Rattus norvegicus: one gene and its partners. The protein of the gene in region 1 purifies or fractionates together with the protein of each later gene. This does not show direct contact. Links are inferred from orthologs where the notes say so. Each region holds a gene or a part of one and is shown on either strand. Other genes may lie near its edges.

The links.
Region 2: the proteins of Polr3b (region 1) and Crcp purify together in Homo sapiens (affinity purification with mass spectrometry; 5 studies listed by BioGRID and IntAct, with this or other methods). This does not show direct contact. The link is inferred for Rattus norvegicus from reciprocal best matches to the Homo sapiens genes POLR3B and CRCP.
Region 3: the proteins of Polr3b (region 1) and Polr2e purify together in Homo sapiens (affinity purification with mass spectrometry; 7 studies listed by BioGRID and IntAct, counting the BioPlex papers as one, with this or other methods). This does not show direct contact. The link is inferred for Rattus norvegicus from reciprocal best matches to the Homo sapiens genes POLR3B and POLR2E.
Region 4: the proteins of Polr3b (region 1) and Polr1c purify together in Homo sapiens (affinity purification with mass spectrometry; 7 studies listed by BioGRID and IntAct, counting the BioPlex papers as one, with this or other methods). This does not show direct contact. The link is inferred for Rattus norvegicus from reciprocal best matches to the Homo sapiens genes POLR3B and POLR1C.

What each region holds. Positions count from the first base shown.
Region 1 is NC_086025.1:21,027,326-21,031,326, forward strand, and holds the start of Polr3b (DNA-directed RNA polymerase III subunit RPC2), read right to left. Parts: upstream 2,809-4,001; coding exon 2,737-2,808; intron 1-2,736. UniProt on the Homo sapiens protein: Catalytic core component of RNA polymerase III (Pol III), a DNA-dependent RNA polymerase which synthesizes small non-coding RNAs using the four ribonucleoside triphosphates as substrates.
Region 2 is NC_086030.1:32,292,959-32,297,190, forward strand, and holds the start of Crcp (DNA-directed RNA polymerase III subunit RPC9), read right to left. Parts: upstream 2,810-4,232; 5' UTR 2,796-2,809; coding exon 2,788-2,795; intron 1-2,787. UniProt on the Homo sapiens protein: DNA-dependent RNA polymerase catalyzes the transcription of DNA into RNA using the four ribonucleoside triphosphates as substrates.
Region 3 is NC_086025.1:10,316,090-10,320,166, reverse strand, and holds the start of Polr2e (DNA-directed RNA polymerases I, II, and III subunit RPABC1), read right to left. Parts: upstream 2,810-4,077; 5' UTR 2,734-2,809; coding exon 2,677-2,733; exon of another isoform or gene 2,597-2,676; coding exon of another isoform or gene 2,564-2,596; intron 1,754-2,563; coding exon 1,579-1,753; intron 626-1,578; coding exon 429-625; intron 166-428; coding exon 107-165; intron 1-106. UniProt on the Homo sapiens protein: DNA-dependent RNA polymerase catalyzes the transcription of DNA into RNA using the four ribonucleoside triphosphates as substrates.
Region 4 is NC_086027.1:22,232,067-22,236,126, reverse strand, and holds the start of Polr1c (DNA-directed RNA polymerases I and III subunit RPAC1), read right to left. Parts: upstream 2,810-4,060; 5' UTR 2,754-2,809; coding exon 2,685-2,753; intron 2,591-2,684; coding exon 2,519-2,590; intron 808-2,518; coding exon 700-807; intron 475-699; coding exon 342-474; intron 1-341. Other genes in the region: protein YIPF3, read left to right, coding at 3,055-3,135, 3,671-3,868, 4,009-4,060. UniProt on the Homo sapiens protein: DNA-dependent RNA polymerase catalyzes the transcription of DNA into RNA using the four ribonucleoside triphosphates as substrates.

The sequences.
Region 1 (4,001 bases):
AAATATGTCACTGTTGATGGGCTCTGAAGTTTCAAAAGCCCATGCCTGGCCCTGTGTCTGTGTCTGTGTGTCTCTGTCTCTCTCTTCCCCCACCCCCTGCCTGCATAAAGATCAGGCTATAAAGCTCTCAGCTACTTCTCCAGCACCATGCATACCATCCCTGATACAATGATAATGGACTAACCCCTGAGACTGCTGGTGAGCCCCCAATTAAAAGCTTTCTATTATAAGAGTTGCCTTGGTCACAGTGTCTCTTCTTCACAGGACACTGAGACATAGGATAAAATCTAAAGTCATCAACAGTGGTAGTTTACCAAGTCTGGCCAGTGCTTACTTCTCCACCTCTTTCCCACCATTGCTTACTGTACTCGCTCTGTTTGGTTTTGGTTATATTATTGTTGTTTTTTCCTCTTGTATGCTCATCCTGCCTTTGGTGGGTTTTCTTCTCGTTTCAGCTTTAACTTGTAGATTAAATGTTGTACATCAGTCCTGACTTCCTTAGGAAGGCACTGACTCCCTCCTACCACAGTGTCTGCCATAGACCTTCGTGTTTCTAACATCGCTAGCCCCATCCCCACGTCTTATGCTCTGAAGTGGGGTCCTCAGGTCCTGCCTTCACCAAAGAAGGTCCTAGAATGACACTGGAGACTCGGAAAATTGACACAGTACTTGTTCATAAAGCTTATTCTCATTTATTCTTGTGAAGTAAACTAGAATCTCATTGTTGAGCCAATGATCAGTAATCTGAACAGTAGTTACTAGAGCAGTAAACAAATGTCATTTCCTTTTAGCCTATTTACTATTCAAACTCCCAACCTGCATTCTCTACACTTTCTAGGCCGGAGCTCTGTTTCATTTGAATCAATAATTTCTAATATATTTTCCTTCATATTATACCATGGCGGGAAAAGTTACTCAAGCTTTGGGGCTGGTTATTATTCATTGAAAAGTTGAGCAAATACTAATTCGTCTTACTACTTAAACAAGCAGACAGACGTGTCTCCTGGCTTCCAAAGCCATAGTGAGGTGGATCAGTATAGATGCTAGATAGACTGCTATGCCTGAGCATGGTGAGGGAATGAGGGAGGCATTCCAAATAAAGGGAGCCATTGTGCACAAGCAACAGGGTTGAAGGAGCTGGCAGGGTTGAAAACACTGAGGATGTCTATGCCTTCTACGGATTAGACATGGTGAGGAGAGGAGGGTAGGTACACTGAGGAAGCTTAAGGTAGTAAATGTGGTGACAGCAGGTTCCAATGAGCCAGTGCACTGTGGCTCAAATGCTGAGTTAGGGGTGAGGAACACAAAGACAAGGATCAGAAAGCACTGTAGTGTCCCATTTGGAAGACATGGAGTCCCAACTGATGCTGAAATTCAGGGCGAATGTGAGGAGGGTTCCTTACATGAACACTGTAATACGACACTGTGATCTGCAAAATTCTCACTTGAGAGTCATACCAAAGAATATTAAAAGGAAAATGAAATAGCACTCATGTTTTGAGTAAGTCTATAGTTTTGTACTGGGCTACATGCTTAACTATCCTTTGCTGTGTGGACTGCAGGTCCTGTTGAGTGGGAGTGGGGAAACACTGTGAAATAAGCCAAACACAAAGAGAAATACTGTATATTTTCAATAAGAGACTCTTGGAACTCATGCTTCAAACTCCCTCTGAGACAGTGAGGTTGTGATTCTCCTACTTCCACAGACCAAATGTTGGGATTAGTCATGGTTCCCCACACCCTGTTGAACTGTGACAGAAGGAATCAAACCCGGGTGCTCTGTTAGAGCAACTAGTAGTCCTCAATCCCTGAGCCACCTCAGGGCCCTAAGGAAGTTTTTATCATTCACGACGGTCGTTCCCATTTAAACCCTTCAATGGTGTTTTACTATTCCCAGGGAGAAAGTCTTAACACCTTCTGAGAGTTAATTTCAGAATCCGGAACTTCTCTTTACTGCCCTCCTCCCCCAGCACCTCCTCTGAAACATCCGACAGTGTGGCTGAGGGTCGTGTACAGTCTGTCCCTCTGCCTGAATTTCTTCCTCGACCATTTTCAGTCCTAGATATATTCTGTGCCAAAGATGTCAAGGTCCAGAAAGAATTTATATACCTTCTCAGGAAACAAAATCATGTCAGCCACTGCACTTCATCAGACAGTTCAGCGTGGAGCAATTATCGCTTAAGAATCTGATGAAAGCTATAGGGGCCCCTCAGAAAATACAAGGTCAAAAATGGGGGCTGAGGGGATATTCATGATACTTAAACTAAGCCTGCAGTCCAAAGAAACTCTGGATTTAAACGAAAATGATGACCAGCGTGAGATTCACATTCACTTTAACCACCAAAGCCAGCTATGTGACCTCAAGAACATTGCCTAAGCTCTCAGGATCTCGGTGTCCTTTCAGGTGAGATCGGCAAAAAGATACTTGTTCCTCAGAGAACACACAAGGGCCAATTCTTGCCAGAGCATACTTGAACTAGAAATGCTTCATCCGAGAGCCACTGGCTGAGCTTCTAAACGGAAGACGCTACTAAGCGACCCTCTGTTCATGCGGCTACCAACATGCTAGATTCAGACCTTGTAAAGGCTCACACACCGGGAGCTCTGAGCATGTGCAGAAGTCCTGGGCATGCGCAGAAGTCTAGTGTCCCGCCCTCGTCCTCTCAAAAAACTCTCCCGGCAACCCCTCCTCAGTCGCCTCCAGCCTCTTCCGCTGCGTGCGCTCGCGGCGCTTACCTCCACAGTCGGGATCGGCGCAGCCAGCTCCTCCGGAGTCAGGCTCCCGAACTCCTCAGCTAGCACGTCCATTCCACCCACGGTAAAGGAAGAAGGCAGAATGTTCACATCCGCCCGTGCGGCTCCATTCAAACAGCACGCGGAGAGTGGTGTGCGTAGTCCTCCAGTGTCCCCGCTGCGCTTGTTTACGGGAGGCGCTTCAAAAGGTTCCGCCTGGTCCGGGCCTAACCTGCGGAGGAACCCGGAAGTGACCGAGCCGGATGTGGAAAACTGCACCCACTGGTGTACTTCCGAGGTCTCGCCTAGACTCCCAACAGACAGGTTTATATCCAGTATCCCCAGAATGATTAGATACGGCAAAAATATAGTAGTTCTAACTGTATAACTAATCCAAAAAATGACTCGGTAATACACATTGACCACAACGTGAACCTCTAAAGCAGAGATTTAACTCAATTTAAACTGTACGTATGTTGTGCAGTACAACAGTACCTGCGTGTAATGGACAACAATCAAATCTCATAGGATGACCGTAATAGGTTGGGAAGAAATGTTCTAGTGTCAATAAAGTATAACAAAAAAGTGCTACTTAAATTCCCAGATGTGTGATCTTGGAGTAAATTACCCTCGCAAAATTAAATGGGTAGGAAAAACCCAATAAATTATATTAGAAGAGTTAATTAACGGTTTGGGAGAAAAAGATACATCTAAATCCTATGTCAGATATTTCTATATAGGATAACAGTAGGAGAAAATGTCAGCGGGAGGGAGTTTGTACTGTGCACAGGTTTGTTCCCCACTACAACAAATAAACCAGGGGTTGCACATAAACCCCCCATGGTAGCACACACCTATAACCTACCTTTTAGAAGCTAGAGGTAGTAGGGAATCCAGAAAGTCAAGGGCATTTTTGGCTACCTAGCAAGTTTGAGGCTATCCTGAGCTACATGAAACCCTGTCTCCAAAGAAAAGATAATGTATTAATAATGGCTTGTGGTGGAATTCAAGGATGGAAACAAAGCCTAAGGATTACTAATAGAGTTTTAAAGTTTCATCATTGCACTAATTGTTTTTAAAAAATTTTTAGAATACACTTAAAATCTCTATGAATAGTAAACATGCACATCTTTGTGTATGTTTGGTAGAAGACAAGGGGGTTTGCCACTGAAATTTGAAATGAGTTCAGGCACGTTCAGCGGGAAGAAAAATCCCATGGGAAGAAGGGGTAAAAGATGCCCAAAGTTGTTTACTGATCGTTTCAGTTT
Region 2 (4,232 bases), on another chromosome or scaffold:
CTGCATAAACAGGGCAAGGTATCATATACCAATAGGAACAGCACTGGGAGAGTAGAGGCAGGAGGATGAGAAAAGCTTAAGGTCCTCCTGAGTACATATCAAGTTCAAGGCTAACCCTGGATAACATGAGACCCTACCGTAGGAAAAAAGGAAAAAGTAGGTAACAGACTGTCTAATGACTGGAAAGGAAAACAAGATACATTTTAATGTAAGCAACCTGACAAAAAAAGGTCAGAAATGTTTTTGAGGAACCGCCATCATAAAAATGAGTAGTGACTGAGAATACATGCAAAGGAAGTGCAAAGGAAGTGTCCCAAGATGAAGCACTAAGGCGTTCAACATTTAGACAGCAAAGGAGGAGGAGGAAGGAGAAAAGGACACCAAGCAGCAAGATGTAGGAGAGCCGGGGCGTGTTAGAGAGCTGACACTTTCCACGGTTTCTGACACCAGCTACCCAGAGATGGAGAAAGCTTAACCAGACTGAGCCTGAGCTACCCAGTCAGAGACCCCCATCTCAGAGACCGAATGGCTAATCTAATGTGGCTTGAGGTGAAGACAGGGCATCAGAATTCCATCATCCTCAGCTACATAGCCAAGTTCAAAGCCAGCCTGGGCTACTTATGACTCTGTCTCCAAAAAAAAAAAGTCTGACCAACTATAGTATCTATATAACAATTGAGCAGAAGACAAAGAAACATGAATAACAACACAATTTAGGTATGTCAACTGTGTACATATAAAGTCCGCAGGTGGAGTATATTCAAAAACTTCATTTGCCCATCAAGAAATATTTTCTTTATGGAAAAATAAACTGTTAGGGTGGCTTTGTTGTTGGTAGAGTGACTGTCTAGCATGCTCAGGTCCCTTCCATCCCAAACACCACGATATGATAATGGGGTGTGTGTGGCTTAGTGGTAAAGTACCTGTCTAGCATCCCTAAGTTCTATCCCTAGCACCACCTAATAATAATAGTAGTAATAATAATAATAGTGATAATAATGTTGTGGAAGGTGTGTGTTAAGCATGTGCAAGACCGTGGGTACTGGAGCTGGAGAGATGGCTTAGTGGTTAAGAGCACTGACTATGGCTTGGGGATTTAGCTCAGTGGTAGAGCGCTTGCCTAGCAAGCGCAAGGCCCTGGGTTCGGTTCTCAGCTGGGGGGGGGGGGGGGACAGGACACAAAAAACAAAAAACCACTGACTGTTCTTCCAGAGGTCATGAGTTCAGTTCCCAGCTACCACATGGGGGCTCACAACCATCTGTAATGAGATCTGATGCCCTCTTCTGGTGTGTCTGAAGACAGCTACAGTGTATTTGTATATAATAAATAAATATATCTTTTTTTTTCTTTTCTTGTCTAGCAAGCGCTCTACCACTGAGCTAAATCCCCAACCCCATAAATAAATAAATCTTTAAAGGAAAAAAAAAAAGACCGTGGGTACCGTTCCCAACACCACCAAATGAGGAGGAAGAGAAAGAAGAAGAGGCTATCCCAACAACAGCTGGAGAAATATCTCAGGAATTTGCCTAGTTGCCAGGTAGGAGTATTACATGCCTTTAGTCCATGCCTCCGAGGACAGAGGCAGGTGGATATCTGAGTTCAAGGCCAGCCTGGTCTAAAGAGCTTGTTCCAGGACAGCCAGTGCTCTACAGTGAAACTTTGTCTGGGGGGAGGGGGAGAAAACCTTGCCTGCTTTCCTGGTTAATCTTAACTGTCAACTTGAAACAGCCTAGAATCCTCTAAAGAAGCCTCAATGATAAACTGTCTTTTACCAAGTTGTTCTATGGGCGTGTCCACGAGGGACTGTCCCGATTATTAAATGATGCAGGAGGGTACCGCCTGGCCAACTGATGGTGGCACAGGCCTTTAATCCCAGCACTTGGGAGGGAGAGGCAGGCCTATCTCTGGGAGTTGAAGGATAGCCTGATCGACAGAGCTAGTTCCAGGAAAGCCACGACTACGCAAGCCCCAACACCCCCCCCCAAATAAATAGAAATAAAAAATAAAAGGGATGAGGGGTTATACAGACCGCGGCAGGTGCCACCATCCATGGACTGCTTCATAAAGAAGTTAGAAAACACAGAGAGTAAACCAGAGAGAGTTCTTGAACTGGTCTGAAGCTTCAGTTTCCTGTCTGAGTTCTTGCCCTGACTTCCCTCCATAATGAACTGTGTCCTGGAAGTTTAAGATGTAATAAACCCTTTCTACCCCTAGATTACTTTTGGTCATGGTGTTTGTCACAGTAACTGAAAGAAAACTAGCACAGCCAGTACTTTCACGACCCTGGGTACCAATTTCCAAAAGAACACGGCGATAACGGATGGCGATGCAGGTCAGTGGCAAAGGCTTTGCCTAGCAAAGTCCTGGGTACCATTTCCACCATTACAAAACAATGATGGCGGTGCTGATGGCTGGGGATCTGACTCAGTGGTAGAGTGTTTCCCCGAGCACATGCAGAGCCCACATCACAAGATGATTGTGACTGGCACGCATCTCAGGGTCACACTACTTCCAGAGCACGTGCAAGGTCTTGGGTTTCATTCCCAGAACCAGAAGAAAGAGAAAAAATAAAACCCCTCTCTATCCTTCCAACATTCCCCTCCCCAAAAGATACCGGAGGAGAGCGGGTTCCAACACCAGCAGGGTCCCTCCCCTGCCGCCCCACCTCCATGCACTTCCGGTCCGTGCACCCCGCCCACCCGCCCTGCTCGCGGGTCCGGAGGTCTAGCCGCCAGCCGCCTCACAGTCCCCAGCTGATTCTGCTTTCCCCTGGACGTGTCGCTTACACTTCCATGTTGCCTCTGCCTCGTCGTACACAACCGCTGGAAGAGAAGAACCTCACGTTACGCCAGCTCTGCTCTGCTCACCGTTTCTGTGTGTGTGCCGCAAGGCACTCTGGGACCGCCGTGGTGCATGCCGGGATCGCTGCAGGGCTCGCCCGGATCCTCCTTAATTCTAGGTGTTCCTACCTTGGTCTAATTTCAGCTTGTCGGGTGTTTTCATAGTGTAGGTTTTGTTAGGGTTTGCCTTGGCCACGTTAAAAATCCCTAAACCAGGCATGCAGCCCCACACCTGTAATCCTAGCACTAGAGAGGCCGAGACAGGAGAATTGTCATGAGTTTCTGGCCAGCCTGACCTACCTAATTACTTTCAAGCCATCCGAAGCTGTTTGAGACCTTGTGTTTAAAAAAACAAAAAACAGAAGCCAGGTATGGTCGCACAATCCTCTAATTCCAGCAAGGGGGAAAGAGGGAGGCAGAGAAACCCAGTCTCAAAAGACAGAGACAGAGCTGGAGAGATAGTTTAAGCACTTAGGAGGCTGAGGCAGGGGGAATGCCTTGAGTTTGAAGACAGTCTGGGCAACATGGTGAGTTCTAGTCAATTTAGACTACGTAGAGATCCTTTTCCCCATACAACCGTTAAAATTTGGGATGGGGAAGACAGATTTTCATTACTTAGCCTTTCAAACTCAGAGATCTGCCTGCCTCTGCCTCCCAGTGCTGAGATTAAAGGTGTGAGCCCCCACTGCTCAGCCATGTTAAAATGGTTTGCGGGTGATTGTGTTTGAGTTTTGTTTTGTTTTGTTTTTTGGTAAGTGGGGGGTGGTGTCTGGTATGATGACACATACCTGTAATCCCTCCACTTTGGAGATGGAGGCGAGAAAGTCAGTTTTTCATAATCCTCTTCAGCTACATGGGGAGTTTGAGGCCACCTGAGGCTACATGAGAACCCTGTCTCATAAAAACCAGTGTGTGTGTGTGTGTGTGTGTGTGTGTGTGTGTGTGTGTGTCCCACAATGGTGTTCATGGTGTTAGTCGGTCAACCATCTTACAATGATTGCCTCCCCCCTCAGGCACTGGTGATTCAGACATGAATAATACACACTCTCCATGCTAGCTGAGAACCCAGTAAGGGGACCAGTGCAGGGCATAAATCACTATGACACACTCTGTTTAGACTCTAGCATAGACAGGAGAATGACTAACATGGACAAAGAGGCGTCCCAAAGCCAGGAGTGTTTGAGGTGTGTGGAAAGAGGGTCGTTCAAAGCCAAGGCTTCAGAGATAGACTCATAGAAGACAGGCTACTGCCTTGGAGAGCCCCACCACAAAATGATTCAGAGAGGAAGGAATGCAAGCAGGGAAATCGGCTGGTACCCGTGTTCAAATGGCCTCCACCTAGGCACCTGCGCAGTGAGCTCAACCTGGTTGATAGCCAGTGAATGTCTTCA
Region 3 (4,077 bases), about 11 Mb from region 1:
ATAATAAATAAAATAAATCTTAAAAAAAAAAAAAAAAAAGAGGCTACTTTGTGCATATGGGCATATAGCCTCACACGTAAAAAAAAAAAAAAAAAAAAAAGGATACTATCGCGCCAGCAGTTCCGTCACCTCCTCCTTGGTCATGACCACGTGCTCAGGGACTAGCTGTGGAAACAGAGACCCACCCGCGGCCATCAGAAACCGACAGACTCAACAGGCTAATGGGTACTGCCACAGGGCTGGGACAGAGGACACAACCAGGCTACTAATATCACCAAGTTGGATGCTCAAGGCCACTGCACTAAAACTGGGGAACGACCCTGCCCAGCTTATGAATGGCACGGCCTGAGACTGGGAAGATCCAGGGCCCTCCCGTATCCTGTCCAGACCACGCCATGCCACCCAGACCTTCCCTGGGACACACGCACCTCATGTTCTGTGATATTGATGAGCAGCTCCTGCTGTAGAAACTGTTCTAGCACGTACTTAGGGGCCATGTCTACCAGGGACTGCTTGGCGGAGGGTGTCATGCCCTGCTGCACCACGATCAGCGCCCGTGTGATGTTCTCCTCCTGCATGCGCTGGCAGTACACCTTGATGGTCTTGATGCCCACCTTGGGCTCCTCTGCAGGCACACAAGTGTGACCCTCACACCCACCACTAGAGTCCCTGATGTCCTGCTGCCTGTGGACTTAGCTTCTCCACTCACAAAGGAAGACCAGAACGCAAAGCCAGCCGCGGTGGGGCTATCACGGGGCAGCCATGGCGGAAGAAAGCTGCACTGTCCGCCCCTCCTGATCCAGGGGGTGAAATTCTCAGCAGCTCTGAGATTTGTGGAATATGGTATTGTCAGCTTGGGCAGCCTCAAGGAGAAACTGTCTGACCAGGAGGTGGACCCTGTGTCTAACATGGGGCTAAGCCTTCTCTCCTCAGGCAGAGTGGGGTTTACTGGAGCATTAGGACGCAGAGCACAAGAGCAGGTCCAGGTCACCTAGTCACCTAGTCTGCAAATTATCGGACCTTATCCAGACTCTACACACCTTTTTACATTATGATAACAGTGGCAAAATTAGTTAGGAAGCAGCAATGAAAATTTTATGGCTGTAGGTCACCACAACATGGAGAGTCCCATTGTCGGGAAGGCTGACAGCCACTGCCTTACATAGTTCTGGCTGTCCTAGAAGTCACTGTGTAGCCCAGGCTGGCCTCGGCTGCCTGCCTCCGCCTCCTGGATTTATAAACACATGCTACCATGCCCATCCCTGCACCCCCAATTCTCACACTAAAACCCCAGGCCCCAGGCATCAACATCAGGTATTAAAGGAAACAAGCTGCCTGCGGAGACTGGAGGAGCTGCAGAGCACCACAAACCTCCGAGAGCCGCCTGGGCCTCAGACAGCAACTGTAGACTACAGCAACAGGAGCAGGGGGACTGAGCACTGGTCTGCGGACTCAGGGGCAAAAAGGACACCGGTGAAATGGAAGCTTCCCAGGGGAAGACAGGGACAAAGCAGGCAGCTGCCACCAGAACTGGAGGCCCCCAGAGGATGCCACTACTGCCAGCCCAAGGACCCTCACCTGGGAAGAAGACAAACATCTGGTCTGTGGGATCATCGTTGTGGGCCACCAGCACGGTGAGGTCTGTGCGCCTCGGCCGTCCTTCGCTGGGCTTGTCCCCAAACTGTGCCTTGAACTCTTCAAGTGTCTGGTCCAGCTCATCCTGGGTCACCAGGTAGCCTCGGTCATGACACAGCTGTAGAGAGAGAAGAGTACTCAGCTAGAGGACAGCTGGGGACTAACACTGACTGACCCGCAGTACCCAAATTCTGCATAGGCTGAGACTACAGAGGCCCCAGCCAAGCCTCCTCCCTTCCCTCCAGCCTCACCAGAGAAGGCTGGGGTCAATGACCTGGCAACCTTCCTGTCTTGGACCCTCCTAATGAGGGCTGAGAACAGGCCTGAGGAGGCCTAGATCAGGTCCTGGGCTCCACCCAACACAGCATAAATTAAAACTATTAATACCTCTTTCTCCACTGGGGTCTTATCTACTCAACTCGAACAACCAAAATGTCTTCCTTTTTTCCCTTTTCTTTCCAGACAGGGTTTCTCTGCGTGAATGTGACCCTGTCTATCCGGGAAATTACCATGTAGACCAGGCTGACCTCTAACTCAGAGATCCGCCTCTTTCTAACTCCAGAGTGCTGGGATTAAAGGCGTGCGCCGTCATGCCGGCTTGTTTTATTTTTTTAAATAGCTTCTTTTAATCCTACGTGTGTCCAAGAGACCAGAAAAGGGCCACAGATGCCCTGGAACTGGGGTTACAGATGGTTGTGAACTACCATGTGGGTGTCGATGGTGAGGCTCCCTAGTACTGAGGAAACCATTCGTTCCCAACACCCCGTAAACCAGGTGTGACCGTGTAGCAGCCATGTATCCCGTTTCCGAAGCAGAGAGTCCAGCTAGGACTTTTCCTCTGGGGCAGGGGGAGGAGGCTGAAGCAGGAGGATTGCCAACAACTGAGGTGGGTGGACTCCACACTTTAAGAGGGGATGCATCCTATTACCTGGGAGGCTGAAGCAAGAGGATTAGCCCCCATTGGAGGCTGGGCTGAGCGGACAGACAACCGCAGTTAGTCCACAGCTCAGCGCTCGCTCAAAACCTCCCCATGCAACTCGCCTGCATGATAGTCTTGCGGATCTTCCACAGCCGATACGTTTCCTCCTCGTCGTCCATGTTGTCGCACTTCACAAACAACTCTGCACGCGCGCTCGTAGACCTACCAGGACTGAGCCTGCGCGGGACAGCATAAAGTGCACGCCCCCAGCACAGTGCGCCTGCGCGGAATGCGGAGAAGGCCCCGCCCAGGTTTGGTTTAGGTGATCGCCGGAATACACCAACTTTCCAGGATAGGTTGAGCGGTGGGCAATCCCAGCATTTACCGCGGCGGTGTCTGCGCGAGATCGCACACGGGAAGATCGCGCGATACTTGACCTGCCTTAGTATTTTCCCACTAGGCGTTTGCAAAAGAAAACTTGGCTGTAGTTCACGCCTTTAATCCCGGACCGAGGCAAGCAGTCGATGAGTTTGAGGCGAGCCTGGTCTATAGCCAGGGACATCCTGTCTCGAAAAAGAAAAGGAAAGAAAGAAAGGGGGAGCCCGATGATGAAAAGCCAGGTTCATGTGCCTCAGTTTCCCTTTTTATATAAGTTTTTATTAATATATTTGCACTTTGTATGAGAAATCGGATTCCAGCGCCCCCAGCCATCTGTAACTCCAGCTCCAGAGGATCTGGGGCCTCTGGCCTCTGGGTATGTCTAAACCCACATGCAGACCCACACACATGATTAAAATCCTAAAAACTAGAAGGAAAAAATGGACATATAGGCATATAGACAATCGACAAACAAGTGTGTATGTGGTGGGCTACTCGTGCTGCCTTGAAAGTTAGAATGTAAACCAGGTCTCAACAGCGCAGAGCATGCCCTGCCTCTGCCTCCGCAGTGCTGGGATTGAAAGCTTGTACCATCGCAACTGGCAAGGGCTGTCGTTGGAAATCTAGATGCGGACTGTACCCTCCATTCTGTCCTGATGTGAGTCTGACTGAGGTCTACAGATCATGACCGGTTCTGGTATGGAAACTTAGGCTGATCCTGACTTGGAAAGACAAGTTTTGGCCAAGGGCACCGATCACTGAACCCACCATATGCCCTGTAGACCAGGGCTGAGGGGCTGTGGTTGCTACAGTTGGCTAAGAGCTGTGGGTGCAAAGTAAGGGGATGTGGGCATGGGGAATGAGAGAGTTTGAGGGGCTGGAGAGATGGCTAAGTGGTTAAGAGCACTGACTGCTCTTCCAGAGGTCCTGAGTTCAATTCCCAGCAACCACATGGTGGCTCACAACCATCTGTAAAGAGATCCGATGCCCTCTTCTGGTGTGTCCAAAGACAGTGACAGTGTATATGTATATATATATATATATATATATATATATATATATATATATATATATATATATATATATATATAGAGAGAGAGAGAGAGAGAGAGAGAGAGAGAGAGGCATTTGATTCTAGCACCACT
Region 4 (4,060 bases), on another chromosome or scaffold:
CTGCCAGTCTTGGGAGTAAAGATGTACACCACCATGCCTGCCTGGCCCTACTAGCTCTAGTAACGGGCTGACAAGAAGCCTCAGAGGGTGCATGCTTGCTTAAACCTACAGACCCAACTTCAATCCCTAGAAACCATGTAAAGGTGGAAAGAGCCTCTGAGCGCTGCTGGCACTGTGCTAAGAGTGAGGGATTAAAGGCAGGGGCAAGAGAACGTTCTCACAGGCGAAGGCCCATGTACAAGAGCCAACTAAGATCACAGTTAATTAGGCCTGGGATCTGAGCCCATGACAGATTCCAGGACAGTTCTGCCTAACTCATAATCTCAACCTCTCAGCCTTACCTGGGTTCCGATATTCAAAGAGACGTGGATCAGCAAGAATGGGGATAAGCCCCAGGCGGTGAGCAAGGATCTCATCCTGGACGATGGATGTGTTGTTATACACCAAAACCTTTTCCACAGCCATTGTTGGCACCTGCCCAAGGAAGCAAAATGATCTACCTGACCTCCACCCATCCCCTACCTGGAAAAACGAGGGGCAGCCCTTCTTAGTTTTGCCCTTCAGATTTGATACAAGGTTTACTGTGTAGTTCGGACTGCCCTCTGAAGTGTTCATATTATAGGTGTAAACCGCCCCACCCGCCCGGTAGTCTACAGATGGGGTGACAGTTTCCACACTCCAGCCCGCGACTTCTAATACCTCAGCTAACAGAATCCTCCGGAAGGCATTGGCAATGGCAGCATCAATCCCCACCATGTCGAACTCCAGTGTGCTCTCGTCCATATGCACCACGTCCACACGGAAGTTCTAGAGGGGTAGAGAAAGCCCAGTGGGTGGGAAACCTGTTCCTCTTGTGTGAACCCAGTCTACCCTGGCACTATCCCCCAAGATCATCAGTAGACATTTTGTCTCTAGTCCCACTGGGAGGGCAGTGTACTGTTCCTTGTTTATGTTTTTCAAGACAGGGTTTTTCTGTAGCCCTGGCTGTCCTAGAACTCACTCTGTAGACTAGGCTGGCCTCAAACTCAAAGATCCACCTGCCTCTGCTTCTTTTTTTCTTTCTTCTTTTTTCTTTTTTTTCGGAGCTGGGGACCGAACCCAGGGCCTTGCGCTTGCTAGGCAAGTGCTCTACCACTGAGCTAAATCCCCAACCCCCTGCCTCTGCTTCTTGAGTGCTGGGATTAAAGGTGTGTGCCACTATGCCTGGCTTCTCAGATAGTCCACAGACCACCCAGCAAAGCTACTGTACAAAAAGCAGAACTTCCCACCTATTTAAACCATTTGATACTTGCATTTTTTAATATCTACTTTTCCTTATCTAAATTTTCTCTTCCACCCAGTAAACGTTACTTTCTCCCAGGTTCTAAATCCCCTGGGTGACCTTCATGCTGCTGACTCAAGCAAGGGCATAGCAGCTCCTGACCTTGGTCTGACTTCAAGCATCACCACTCGACCGGTAGACTTCGCAAACAACTGTGCCATCGCCCTGGTCCTCCCGCTTAGCAAATGACACAGCCAGCAACACAGTTCCCCAGTGTGGCTGGAGAAACCACTCGGCAGTTAAGAGCACTTACTGCTCTTGCAGAAGAATGGATTTGGTTCCCAGCACCCAGTGGGACCTCCTCACACTGCTGGGAGCAGTGGTGCACAAATACACATGCAGGCAAACATACATACCAAGAAAAGGTTATCCGTTCCTCAAGCCACAAGGTCCTTTCTCACACTGCCCTCACCACAGCAATGGTCTGCATCAGCTAGTTACTACTCTCACTCCATTACCACCATCTGCAGTTCATCCATGCCCCCAATTTCAGCCTCCATACACTAGCTGGCAGATTCGCCAGATTCATTCCTTCCCAGCTATCAAGACTGCAAAATTTTATCAGTCTACTGAAAAATTCTAACGGGGCATGGTGGCTCATGCCTTTAATCCTGTGCACGGGAGGCAGAGGCAGGTGGACCAATCTGAGTTTGAGTCCGGCCTGGTCTACAGAGGGGGTGCCAGGGCAGCCATGGAACCCTGTTTCAAAAAGACATAAAAATAAAAATCTATCACCTACAGAGTCTAAAATGCATTCCAATCTTATCTACTGCTCATGCTGGTGGACTTACATTCTGACAAAAATGAGCTGCTGCAGCTGACTAAGAGCAAACCTTATACAAGCGTTTATAATGAAACTCGAATTAGGCCTTCACCGCTCAACTTTTATTCATAGTTCAAAGCTTAATTCAAATGTCACTCCCTAACTACGTCCCTTCAATTGGCTGGATTAAGTGCATCAATGATTCCTACCCCATCCCAGCCATCTTCATCGCTATTTTATTATACTGAAATAACTTGTTTGTGGCCCATTACCCCACCGAGAGCAAACAATTTATTCCACAAACAGGAGCGGTGTCTGACGGCCCGTCCATGGATCGGGAAACATGTTTTCATGTTTCATGAAAACAGAGATCCCCAACCCAACCTGTGAGGTCTGGCCCCTCAAACCGTCTGGACACTTCCAGCCCTACCCACCTTCTCGAACCGGTCCTGGTCCCAGGCATCATCATAACCGGAGTAGTTACCGGGAAAGTCAGTGGTGTGGACCTAGAGCCAACAGAAAGGGCAGTGAGGCCAGGCCATACACCAGGCCTCCTCTCTCCCGTGCCTCCCCCATCACTCCCGCGGTCCGATCTCTTACATTGCGAACCCCAAACTCTCCCAGAACCACGCGAGTCCGCATTTCCTCCACCGCCTGAGCAGCCGCCATCTTCCACCATCAGCCGTGAGAGGAGGCTCCAAGTTAGCGCGTGCGTGCTAGCGGCCCGCCTCCGTCTCCGCGGCAACGTTCCGTCTCCGGCAATCTTCACTGTCGCGATATCTTGTCCCGCCTCTGTCCACGTCCTTCACTTCCGGACGTCAATTGGGGCCAAACATCCGGGTTTCTCACTTTTGCGTTCCGGCTGGTCCTACCTCGCCTAGTCGCTCCTCTGAACCTTTCCTTCCCTCGGGCCCAGGTCTCACACTATTCCCACGAGCGCTAGCTTCAGCGACGGGAAGCCTCGAGGGACATGGCGACTCAGGCGGCGCCGGCCAGCGGCGTCCGAAATGGTGCTGGCCCGGAATGGGGAGGCTTCGAAGAAAACATCCAGGTATTGAGAGCTCTTGCTGCCAGCAACTCCCCGGGCTGGCGGCCGAGTGTGGTTGCTATTTTTTCTCGCGGCGTGGAAGTCGGCTCTATTGCCACACTGCCTGTCCTCTTTCAGTCTTCCACGCGAAAGTGTGTAGAGCTTGTGCTGGCGTGAAAGGGCTAGATTAAGGTTCGAGTCTCTGTACCTGCCCGGGGCTTTGCAGACGGGTTGGGGGATCTGCCTGGATCAGGCATAGTATGGGACTACAGGATAGAATTTCGGCACTTCCTAAAATAGGCTTGTTTGAGAGTTGGGAAAGGCAGATGGGCTTCTTTGCAACTCTTTGGAGCTTTGGGAGGGGCGGGGGGGGGAGGGCGAACTACAAGTGTCGCCACCAAGAGTTGCCAGCAGTGAAAGGTTATGTATAACACAGTGGGTAGCAGTTCCAAGCCATATCCTCGTCAGTGGAAGAGCAAAGCCTCAAACTGTCAGATGAGGGGAGAACCAAAGGATGCAACGGAAGGGCCCCTCACACTAGGAGCCATTGTCTTCACAGGGTGGGGGCTCGGCTGTGATTGATATGGAGAACATGGACGATACCTCAGGCTCCAGCTTCGAGGACATGGGTGAACTACATCAGCGCCTGCGTGAGGAAGAGGTAGATGCTGATGCAGCTGCTGCAGAAGAAGAGGACGGGGAGTTTCTCGGCATGAAAGGCTTTAAGGGACAACTGAGCCGGCAGGTAGCAGATCAGGTAAGCCAATGGAAAGGAAGACCTGTGTGTGTCCTAGGTTGATACACTTTTTCCACTTAGACCTACATACACAGAAATCAAGCGGAGGCCGGGTAACCGTCTAGAGCCAGGAGTTTTTCATAATACCCATCTCCTTTCAGATGTGGCAGGCAGGGAAGAGACAAGCTTCAAAGGCCTTCAGTTTGTATGCCA